Linked DNA regions of Coturnix japonica. The protein of the gene in region 2 interacts with the protein of the main gene of each other region in a pairwise test. Links are inferred from orthologs where the notes say so. Each region holds a gene or a part of one and is shown on either strand. Other genes may lie near its edges.

Region 1 (4,327 bases), on a different chromosome or scaffold from region 2:
TTTGGATTTGAGCATTTTGCAGCCCAAAATGAGAACACAGAGTCATTAAGAAAACACTGTATGGTGTATTTGCATAACCTTAAAGCCACATTTCCTCTGGAAGCAAGGCTGAAAGAGTTTATCACTGCTTTGTTCCCCTCCAGGTTGTGTATCTTAGGAAGAAAACAACTCAGACTTGTTTAAACCATACTGTCAAAGTTGCTTTATGTAGTTCTAACTAATCAAAAATTGCTATCAACTTCCTAATCGACAGTCTTTGCTCCCAAGGGGCATAAAGGACATGGAGTACTTTTCTATTTGTGGTATAACCATAAACAACCGCAGGGAAGACAGCAGTAACAATGCTTCCAAGTTTACAGCACAACGTGAACTGCTGTTATTTAAATGAGCTCAAGCTTATCTTCAGGTTCACCTCTTCACTATTGTGCTTTTAAAGGGAAGGAATTTTGTATTATAAGCAGGCGTCCAAATCTGTTTGCTTGCACACTTAAGATCTCAGGACAATGATCTGATGGCGCCCACGTGGGAGAACAGTTCAACAGCTGAAAGCAGAATTCAGGGAACATTCAAGGAAGGCAGCGCTGCACCCCCCAACCCACTTAATAGGGGACCTACATAACAACTCCCAATTCAAATCCTCTTTTCCGATGTTATATTTCAGCTGCACAACAGAAAAATTAGTAGAAAATAAGGAAACACAAAGTCTCTAAAGAAGAAATTGCTTTGTGATAAAGGAGGGAAAATAGAACTAACGCCCCTGCCTTCCATCCTGCACTCCTTTCCCATCGCAGGGAGGGAGTGCTGCTGTGCAGGACCTCTGCCACACTCCCAATCATGAGACCACCCTTCTTGAGGTGTAGCTTAGTGAAGATGTGCTGGTACACACAAACAACCTACTTCTATGGCCTCTATGCTCTCCACAGATGTCATCGGGATCTCTGCTGTCTGCTTTAGGGGAAGCCTGTAACAAGCTCCAGCACAGCTCAGTATCTGCCTATAAGAGCCCAAGCACGCACCAATGCGCAGACTCTGCAATCAGGGTTGCAAGCTTCCTCCTCACTGGGACCAGTCAGCAATAACAGCTCCTCTCTCCCCAATCAAACCACGTGCTGCTAGCAGAGGCAGAGCTCCCCCAGCTTACCTGCACATTTCTATTAATTAAGAAAGCACCGAACACAAAAACATCTCACTGAAGTCAGCACTGATTTCTCCCTTGCACCTCTTGGGGAGCTGGCCGCCCATCCATAAAGCCTAGCACCACACAAGCGAGCAAGCAGCCTGTTGCAAGACCAACTGAGCCACAACTGAAGAGAAACAGGCAGAGAAATGACAGCAACATATCACACTTTCTGGCTACCGACTGATCATACACTCAAATAAACATGGCCATGTCCTGAAGCTGTTGGCTCCTTAATAGTATTAAGTACTCCTAACTTCTGCCGATAAGTAGATGTCAAAGGCATTTAGCATCCCATAGGGTCAGGCCTACTGGCAGATGGTGGAGGGAAGGGCTGGCACAGAGGAAGGGAAAGAGGTGGGAGCAGAGAAGGGTAGAGTTGCCCTGAGTTTTATCCTCTACAATAAGTCAGTGTTTTGTTTTTTTTTTAATCATCGAGCACTGAAGGAGTTAAGCACTAAAGCACAGACACTTAATCAGCTTTCCCCCTTCCTTTCACATGTGATCGGAATGAAGCTGCACTGAAGCCGCCCAAAGGGTTTATAACAGCTCAATTTCGCAGCCTTCCGTTTTAATCCCCATCACCCAGCCCGAGTAGCATGGCGGTGCTGAGGCACTACTCCACAGCAGTCCGGGCACCTGGATGGTGGGGATGATCTTCCTCCTCCTCGTCGTCCTCCTCCTCTGCAGCCTGCAGGTGGCTGGAGAGCTCCTGGATGACGGCAGCCCTACCGATCTGGTCATTTCTCCTCTTCTCCATGATCAGATCCTCCAGGCTCTGAAACTCCAGCGTGTGGCTGCGCTTGTCGCCCAGCCGGATCTGCAGGCGGTAGGGCTGCTTGCCGATGCGCAGCTCCCCGCCGATTTTAAACTCCCTCTTGCCGTAGCGGCACCAGGCAGCAAAACACTCTGAGTTTCTCCAGCTCAGGTCCCGGTCCTTACAGCCCACCTGCTCCAGGGCGTTACGTACCACCGTGGCAGGGCTGAGGGGTTTGTAGCGGTACAGCTGGTTGGCAATACGGCCCCGCCTGCCCTGGCTGGCATCGGTGAGGAAGCTGTTCACCACCTCCAGCCTGTGCAGGTGCACAACCTGAAAATCCCCCACGTAGACCACCCAATGTGGGTACTGGGCCTGGCACACAAACTCCACCAGGTCACCTGGTTTGCAGCGGTTCAGCAGGTTCTCTGGGGTGTAGGTGCTCAGGTGTCCCCTGCCTCCTTCCTCACCCTCCTCCGGCAGCACATCCTCCTCAGAAAAGCTCTTCTGGTAGATGCATTCATCCCGGTAATAAACAGAGCACTCCACCTCATGCAGCTGGGGATCGTAGGGCTGCAGGGCAGGGTGCTCACCCCCGAGGTCATGTCCCGAGTCCTGCTGCTGCTCCAGCTCATCGTCGTCATTGGAAAAAATGTAGGAGACCCCGATCCTGGGCCCTTCATCTCTGTCCATGCCAGTCGGGTCAGCCGTGGGAACTTCCTTGTAGTTCAGATGGGTCAGCTTCTCCACCTGGTTCCCCATGCCCGCTGTAACGACACACACACAGCGTGGCTATCAAGGGGCCAGAGAGACAGTAGAGCAGGGATTCAGAGCACGGTCCACCCCCGCTCCCCTTCCCCACCTTAACCACACTTCATGCTGCAACACAGCCCTGCGAGTAGCCGAGGGGGAATAAAGGTGACAGCCGCGGACCACTGCCAGAGCCCAGGGGCAGGTGAGGCAGCACGGCCACCTGTTAGCCGGCAACAAGGAGGAGCAAGGCGCCGAAGGGGAGCACCGAGCCACCTGTTAGGGACCGAGGGCGCGGCTAAAAGGGGGGTCCGGAGGTCCGAGCTGGAGACGGCGGAGTTCCACCCCTGGCGGAGGTGAGCCATCCCGGTTCAACTCGCCCCCGCGCCGGCACCGTGTGGCCGCAAACTTACCGCGGAGAACGGCAGCGCGGCGCCGAGCGGCTTTAGGGCTCCCGGGCGGAGGCGGCGCGGCTCCTGGGGGCGGGTGCGATCATGGCCCCCCCGGCCCCGCTCCGCGCTCCCCGCAGCAGCAGCGCCCGCAGCCGCGCTGCCGGCACTCGGGGCTGTGCAGGAGGCGCCGGGGAGACACGGCCGAGAGGAGGGACGCTGGATCCGGCTGCGGACGCCCCGGCGAGCGCTCAGCCCCCAGCATTTAAAGAGGCAGCTCTTTTTTTTTTTTTTTTCCTTCCTCTCTTTTTTTTCCCCCCCCTTCCTTCCGTCTTTCCCCCCTCCTTCCCTTTTTCCTCCTCTCCCCACCTTTTTCTTTCTCCTCGCTCTACATGCCAAGCGCTCTGCTCCCCGCCGAGGCAGATCCGCGGGCGGAGGTCGGACGGGCTCTTTGCGCTTACGGCTGCGTGTGCAACGCGCTCACGCACCAACTCACACGCGTGCTCGTACGCGGCCCCTTTAAGGGAGCGCTGCCATGAAACAGCCCAGCCCGCCGGTTCGGAGAGGGGTTGGGATAACCGGGAGCCGGAGTTTGCTCGGGACGGCGCCGAGAGGCGATGAGAAGTGCCGTGCGGGGCCGTGGGGTGATCCCGCTGCACCCCTCTGAGGATCCCCGTCCTAAGCCCCGCCGAGAGCTGCCGGCAATAGCGGGGAATTTGTAACGCGGCGAAATCACAGAGCCCGGCTCTCCTGGGCTACTCGGTGCCTTGCATTCTTCCATGAGCGAAGCGTGTAATTAGTTTTATTAATAAATCTCTTTTCTTTTTGACTCCACGAGATCGCACTCTTTTTCAATATGGAAGATGATGATTCGTTCCCCCTGGAACGGCATTATCGGGACCAGTGGGAGTATTTCTCTTTTTGCATTTCAGAGAACACAACACTCTATTCTCCTTTTTCATTAATACCCAGTTAGTCTGTTAGGTGGGTATTCTTCCTATTTCCACATGTGCTGGTAAATCTATGCTGTTCAAATAGACTACAGAGATAATTTATGGGAGCCAGGAGTAATGTCTTTAATTTTGTCTCATTGTCTGTTGCCTTGTAATTTATAAACCCAACTGCACACCGCTGCTTGGAGGGTTTGCTGAACAGCAGTGAGTGCAGGAACAGGCATAGTTTTATGGGGTGCTGGGTGCTGCCTGTAGGCTCAGAGAATGCCATTTCTATCTGGTGATGTGCTGCTGTGGCTTC
Region 2 (4,456 bases):
CTCAAGTTTAAAGCTTCTCCAGCTTCTCACTGTGGGCATCAAAACTTTGATTTCTAAGTCTGACTCTGGAGACAGATTTTGATGTTTCCTGCATATTGCACTTTTCCCAGTTACAAGGAAGGGAAGACGCTGGACACATGCTTGTAAAGCAGCCTAGGAACAGTATCACTTTCCACAACCTACATGGAAGGGATGTGAGCCACAACCCCATACCTGATCACAGGTTTGTAATCAACCCCAAACAACTGCTGCTGCCTCTGGATCCTCTCTGTGGACTCAACTGGGACCAGCCTGTCCCCTCCTTCTGCATGCTTGCACACCAGGACCCAGCCTTCCTCCAGATCACAGCCACTCTTGTATTCTTCCAGCTGCTCCTGTGGGGCAAAATACATCCTGTACGGACCCCCTGGACCTCTACAACTCCTTGAAAGGAGGTTGCAGCAAAGTGATGGTGGGCCTCTTTTGCTGGGTAACAGCAATGGGATGAGAGGCAGTAGCTTCAAGTGGCCCCAGGGAAAGCTCAGGCTGGATATTAAGAACAATTTCTGCTCCTAAAGAACGGTGCTGCAGTGACACAGCTGTCCAGGGCGGTGGTGGGGTCACCGTGCCTGCAGGTGTTCCACAGCAGTGGGGATGTGGCACTGAGAGATGTGCTCATTGGGCACGGTGGGGTGGGGGTAGGACTGGGTGATCTCAGAGATCATTTCCATCCTTAATGACGGTACGATACCACAGACACACTCAGCATTGCACTAAGGGCCCCGGGCCTCACATCGCCACCAAGGCCCGAGCCTGGAAGGGACAGTGGCACGGGGTGTAGACACGAGCGATGAGGAAGGCGGCCGGAACACAACCAGGTGGCGACAGGACGCGGCCAGAGGGCGGCGGGGGGAACGAGGCGATGTCAGGGGCCGGCGGGGCGGCTCTCCACCCAAGGGCCGGGGACCGGGCCCCTCCGCGGGCAGCGCAGGCCCCGAGCCGCCCCCCGCTCCGCGGTAGGCCCGGACCCTCGGAGCGCAGCGGGGGGCGTTACCTTGCTGAGCTTCACCCACAGCCCCGCTCCGTTGCAGTACTCCTCGCCCGTAGCGCGGAGGCAGCCGCCCTTCCGCACCTCGATGGTGGCCCGCGCCGCCCGCTTGGAGCCCCGCGCCGGCCCGGGGCTGTCCCACACGCTGAACAGGCTGCGGGACGAGGCGGCGGCCGACGGGTCCTTGCAGATCTTGTACTGCACCTCGCGGGGCACGTAGCACAGCGCGGCGGGCAGCGGCCGGGAGCGGCGGAAGCATTCGCTGCACTGCAGCAGGAACCGCAGCCGGCCCAGCACCTGGTGCGGAGCCTCGGCGCCCGCCCGCATCGCGCCCCGCAGCTCCGAGCCACGCACCGCCGGTGTGACGGGGGTCGGTGCTCACGGCTTTACGGCAAACCACGCCCGCCGCACAGCCAAGATGGCGGCGCCCGCAGGCAAGATGGCGGCGCCCATGAAGCGTACGGCGAAGAGGGGAGCAAAGCAAGATGGCGGCGTACGGAGGGGTGAGGGCGGGGCAAGATGGCGGCGCCCGGTCGGCGTGCGGAGGGGAGGGGTCACGGTAAGATGGCGGCGGGGCGGGGCGGGATGAGGGCGGGGCGGGAAGCGAGACGGGATGGAGGGCAGCGAGCGGCTGGTGTGAGTAACCGGGAGCGGGGTCAGCGGGGGCTACGGGATCGGGAGGGTGACACGGAGCGGCCACGGGGCTCATGGCGGCCAGAGCGGCGTGGGACCGGGAGCACGAAATGGGACGGGACGGGCGGGACGGGAGAGTGCGCTGTGATCAACCGGGACCTGACCCCGAGTGTTGGGATCAACCGGGACCTGACCCCGAGTGCTGTGATCAACCGGGACCCCGAGTGCTGTGTCCAGCCGTGTCCCCGAGCTGTCTTGCTGCGGGCACGGGGCCGTTCCTGAGGCGCTGCTCACTCCGCTGCTGCGGTACCGGCCCCGCTATGGAGCTCTGGGCTCCGTCCATCGGGCTCTGGGCTGCCCCCATCGCGGCCCACACGTGTGCCCCCCCGCCATGCAGCCCCTGGAGCTCTGTGTGATAGATAGCGCCGTGCCCTGCAGGCACACGGCCCCTGTGGGAGCAGCTGCAGCCGGCGATAACGTAATCGCACCGAGGGGCCGTCGCCCCGCTGCCCCCAGAGAGGCCCGGCTCCCTGCAGCCAACAGGTCTGAGAGCCAACAGCGCTGCCCCGGTGCCCTCCATGGTGACCAGCCCCGCCTGCTGTTCTTCCAGCCCCAAGGGCTTCCCCAAGCTGAAGAATGACACGTTCCTGCGGGCGGCTCGTGGAGAGGACACGGAGCACACCCCGGTGTGGTGCATGCGGCAGGCGGGGCGATACCTGCCGGGTGAGTGGGGGTGGCAAATAGGGCTGGGATGGTGGCATATAGGGCTGGGTTGGGGGGGGCAATGGGAGCCAGCACAGCCCTCGTCACCACGGCTGGTTCCTTGCAGAGTTTCGGGAGACCCGGGCTGCTCAGGATTTCTTTGACACTTGCCGGAGTCCCAAGCTGTGCTGTGAGCTGACGCTGCAGGTGATTGTCCTCTGTGGGGGTTGTGTCCCATTTCCCCTCTTATAACAGAGGTGGCAGGAAACTTTCGGTCTGGCCTTTACCCCCAAGTGGCTCACTAGGTTGTGCAGCCCAAAACGTGGCTCAAAGTCCCTGAGTTCATCCACAGAGTGACCCCCCAGCATCAGACAGGGCCCTGCCCACCCACTGCACCCCATATGCGTGTCCCAGCCCTCATAGGGACAGGGACCCACGCTACGTTTTTCTCTCCGCCATCCACAGCCACTCAGACGATTCCCTCTGGATGCTGCTATCATTTTCTCTGACATCTTGGTGGTGCCCCAGGTGAGTTACAATCAATGGTGGGGAGCAATGACTGGGCACGGGGCTGGATCCAGAACTGCCACATTCCTGCCTCTTCCATTCTCCCCCGTCCCCAGGCACTGGGCATGGAGGTTGTCATGGTCCCCGGTAAAGGACCCACATTTCCAGAGCCCCTGAAGGAGGTGGAGGATCTGCTGAAACTACGGCAGAAGGTGGACGTGACTGCAGAACTGGGTTACGTCTTCCAGGCTGTGACACTGACACGGCACAGCCTGGAGGGCAAAGTGCCCCTCATCGGCTTCTCCGGGGCACCTGTAAGTGATAGGAGTCTGCAAAGTGGGTTTTCCTGCTCTTCCCTCTGGAGTAGCGCTGGTCTTGGCACCTCCAGAGCTGCAGGGACCAGCTTGTACTCGTCCTATATAGGCAGAGAACTAGTAGAGCTGCTGCTCCTGCACACAAGTCTGTCTTCAGCACTGATCCCACAATTATCCCCTCACATGTTTTTCATCTCACCCCGCTCCTCTCCTTCTTGCAGTGGACGCTTATGTCCTACATGGTTGAAGGGGGTGGCTCCACTACGATGGCAAAGGCCAAGAGCTGGCTGTACCGTCACCCTGAAGCAAGCCACCGACTGCTGAGGCTGCTGACTGATGTTGTCACCGACTACCTTGTGGGGCAGGTGGCTGCTGGAGCGCAGGTGTGTCCTGAGGCATGGGGACAGGTCCTCAGGAGGGCAGGGACTGGGGACAAGAAGCAGAGAGGTCCAGCTTGTGAGATGAGGGACTGAAGCACTGCACTGCATAGTACCTGCAGCTCACCCAGCCCTTTGTATCCAACAGGCGCTCCAACTGTTTGAGTCTCATGCAGGGCATTTAGGCCCAGAACAGTTTCGGGAGTTTGCCCTGCCATACATCCGAGACATTGCCCGGGATGTTAAGAGCAAGCTGAAAGCAGAGGCACTGCCACTGGTGCCCATGGTAAGTGGGCAAGCTGCCTGGGATATCCCTGTTCCCTGGGAGCACATGGAGGATTATGGCTGCGAGGAGAGGCTGGGAGAGGGTACAAAGGGATGCTACCAGGATAGCAGTGTGACAGGGTCTGTACCTGTATCTCTCATTGTCCCTGGCATCTGGAGCTCTGTCTCCTGGAGTTACTGCCCATTTCCTCCTTCCCCAGATTGTCTTTGCGAAGGACGCACACTACGCACTGCGTGATTTGGCACAAGCTGGCTATGAGGTTGTCGGTCTTGACTGGACCATCCAGCCCCAGGAAGCTCGGTAAGAGTCTGGCACAGCACTCTTATCCTGACCCTTCCCTTTGTCTGGCTGCCCTGCTGCATTGCAGGCCTGAAATTTTCTGGTGCAGAGGAGAGGATAGTCAGGCCCCAGTGCTTTGTGAAGCTCACAGCAGCCGGGAGCTGCACAAGGGGTCCTGTAGCTGCTCCTGATCTCTGCACCACACACAGCAACTCACCTGTTTCCTCCCTGCTCCAGTGCACAGGTAGGGAAAGGTGTCACTCTGCAAGGAAACCTGGATCCCTGCGCTCTCTATGCACCCAAGGTGAGCCATGGGCCTCCTGCCTCCATT

Evidence for each region.
Region 1: the proteins of UROD (region 2) and LRATD2 interact in binary tests that used the Homo sapiens proteins (3 or more experiments, as listed by UniProt). The two-hybrid records come from large-scale screens. The link is inferred for Coturnix japonica from reciprocal best matches to the Homo sapiens genes UROD and LRATD2.

The regions. Positions count from the first base shown.
Region 1 is NC_029517.1:125,552,746-125,557,072, forward strand, and holds the start of LRATD2 (protein LRATD2), read right to left. Parts: upstream 3,092-4,327; 5' UTR 2,797-3,091; intron 2,702-2,796; 5' UTR 2,697-2,701; coding exon 1,794-2,696; 3' UTR 1-1,793.
Region 2 is NC_029523.1:18,553,946-18,558,401, forward strand, and holds the start of UROD (uroporphyrinogen decarboxylase), read left to right. Parts: upstream 1-1,625; 5' UTR 1,626-1,640; coding exon of another isoform or gene 1,641-1,663; intron 1,664-2,196; 5' UTR 2,197-2,238; coding exon 2,239-2,383; intron 2,384-2,489; coding exon 2,490-2,569; intron 2,570-2,827; coding exon 2,828-2,890; intron 2,891-2,985; coding exon 2,986-3,183; intron 3,184-3,404; coding exon 3,405-3,566; intron 3,567-3,708; coding exon 3,709-3,846; intron 3,847-4,045; coding exon 4,046-4,146; intron 4,147-4,362; coding exon 4,363-4,429; intron 4,430-4,456. Other genes in the region: E3 ubiquitin-protein ligase HECTD3-like, read right to left, coding at 214-374, 1,034-1,354. UniProt on the Homo sapiens protein: Catalyzes the sequential decarboxylation of the four acetate side chains of uroporphyrinogen to form coproporphyrinogen and participates in the fifth step in the heme biosynthetic pathway.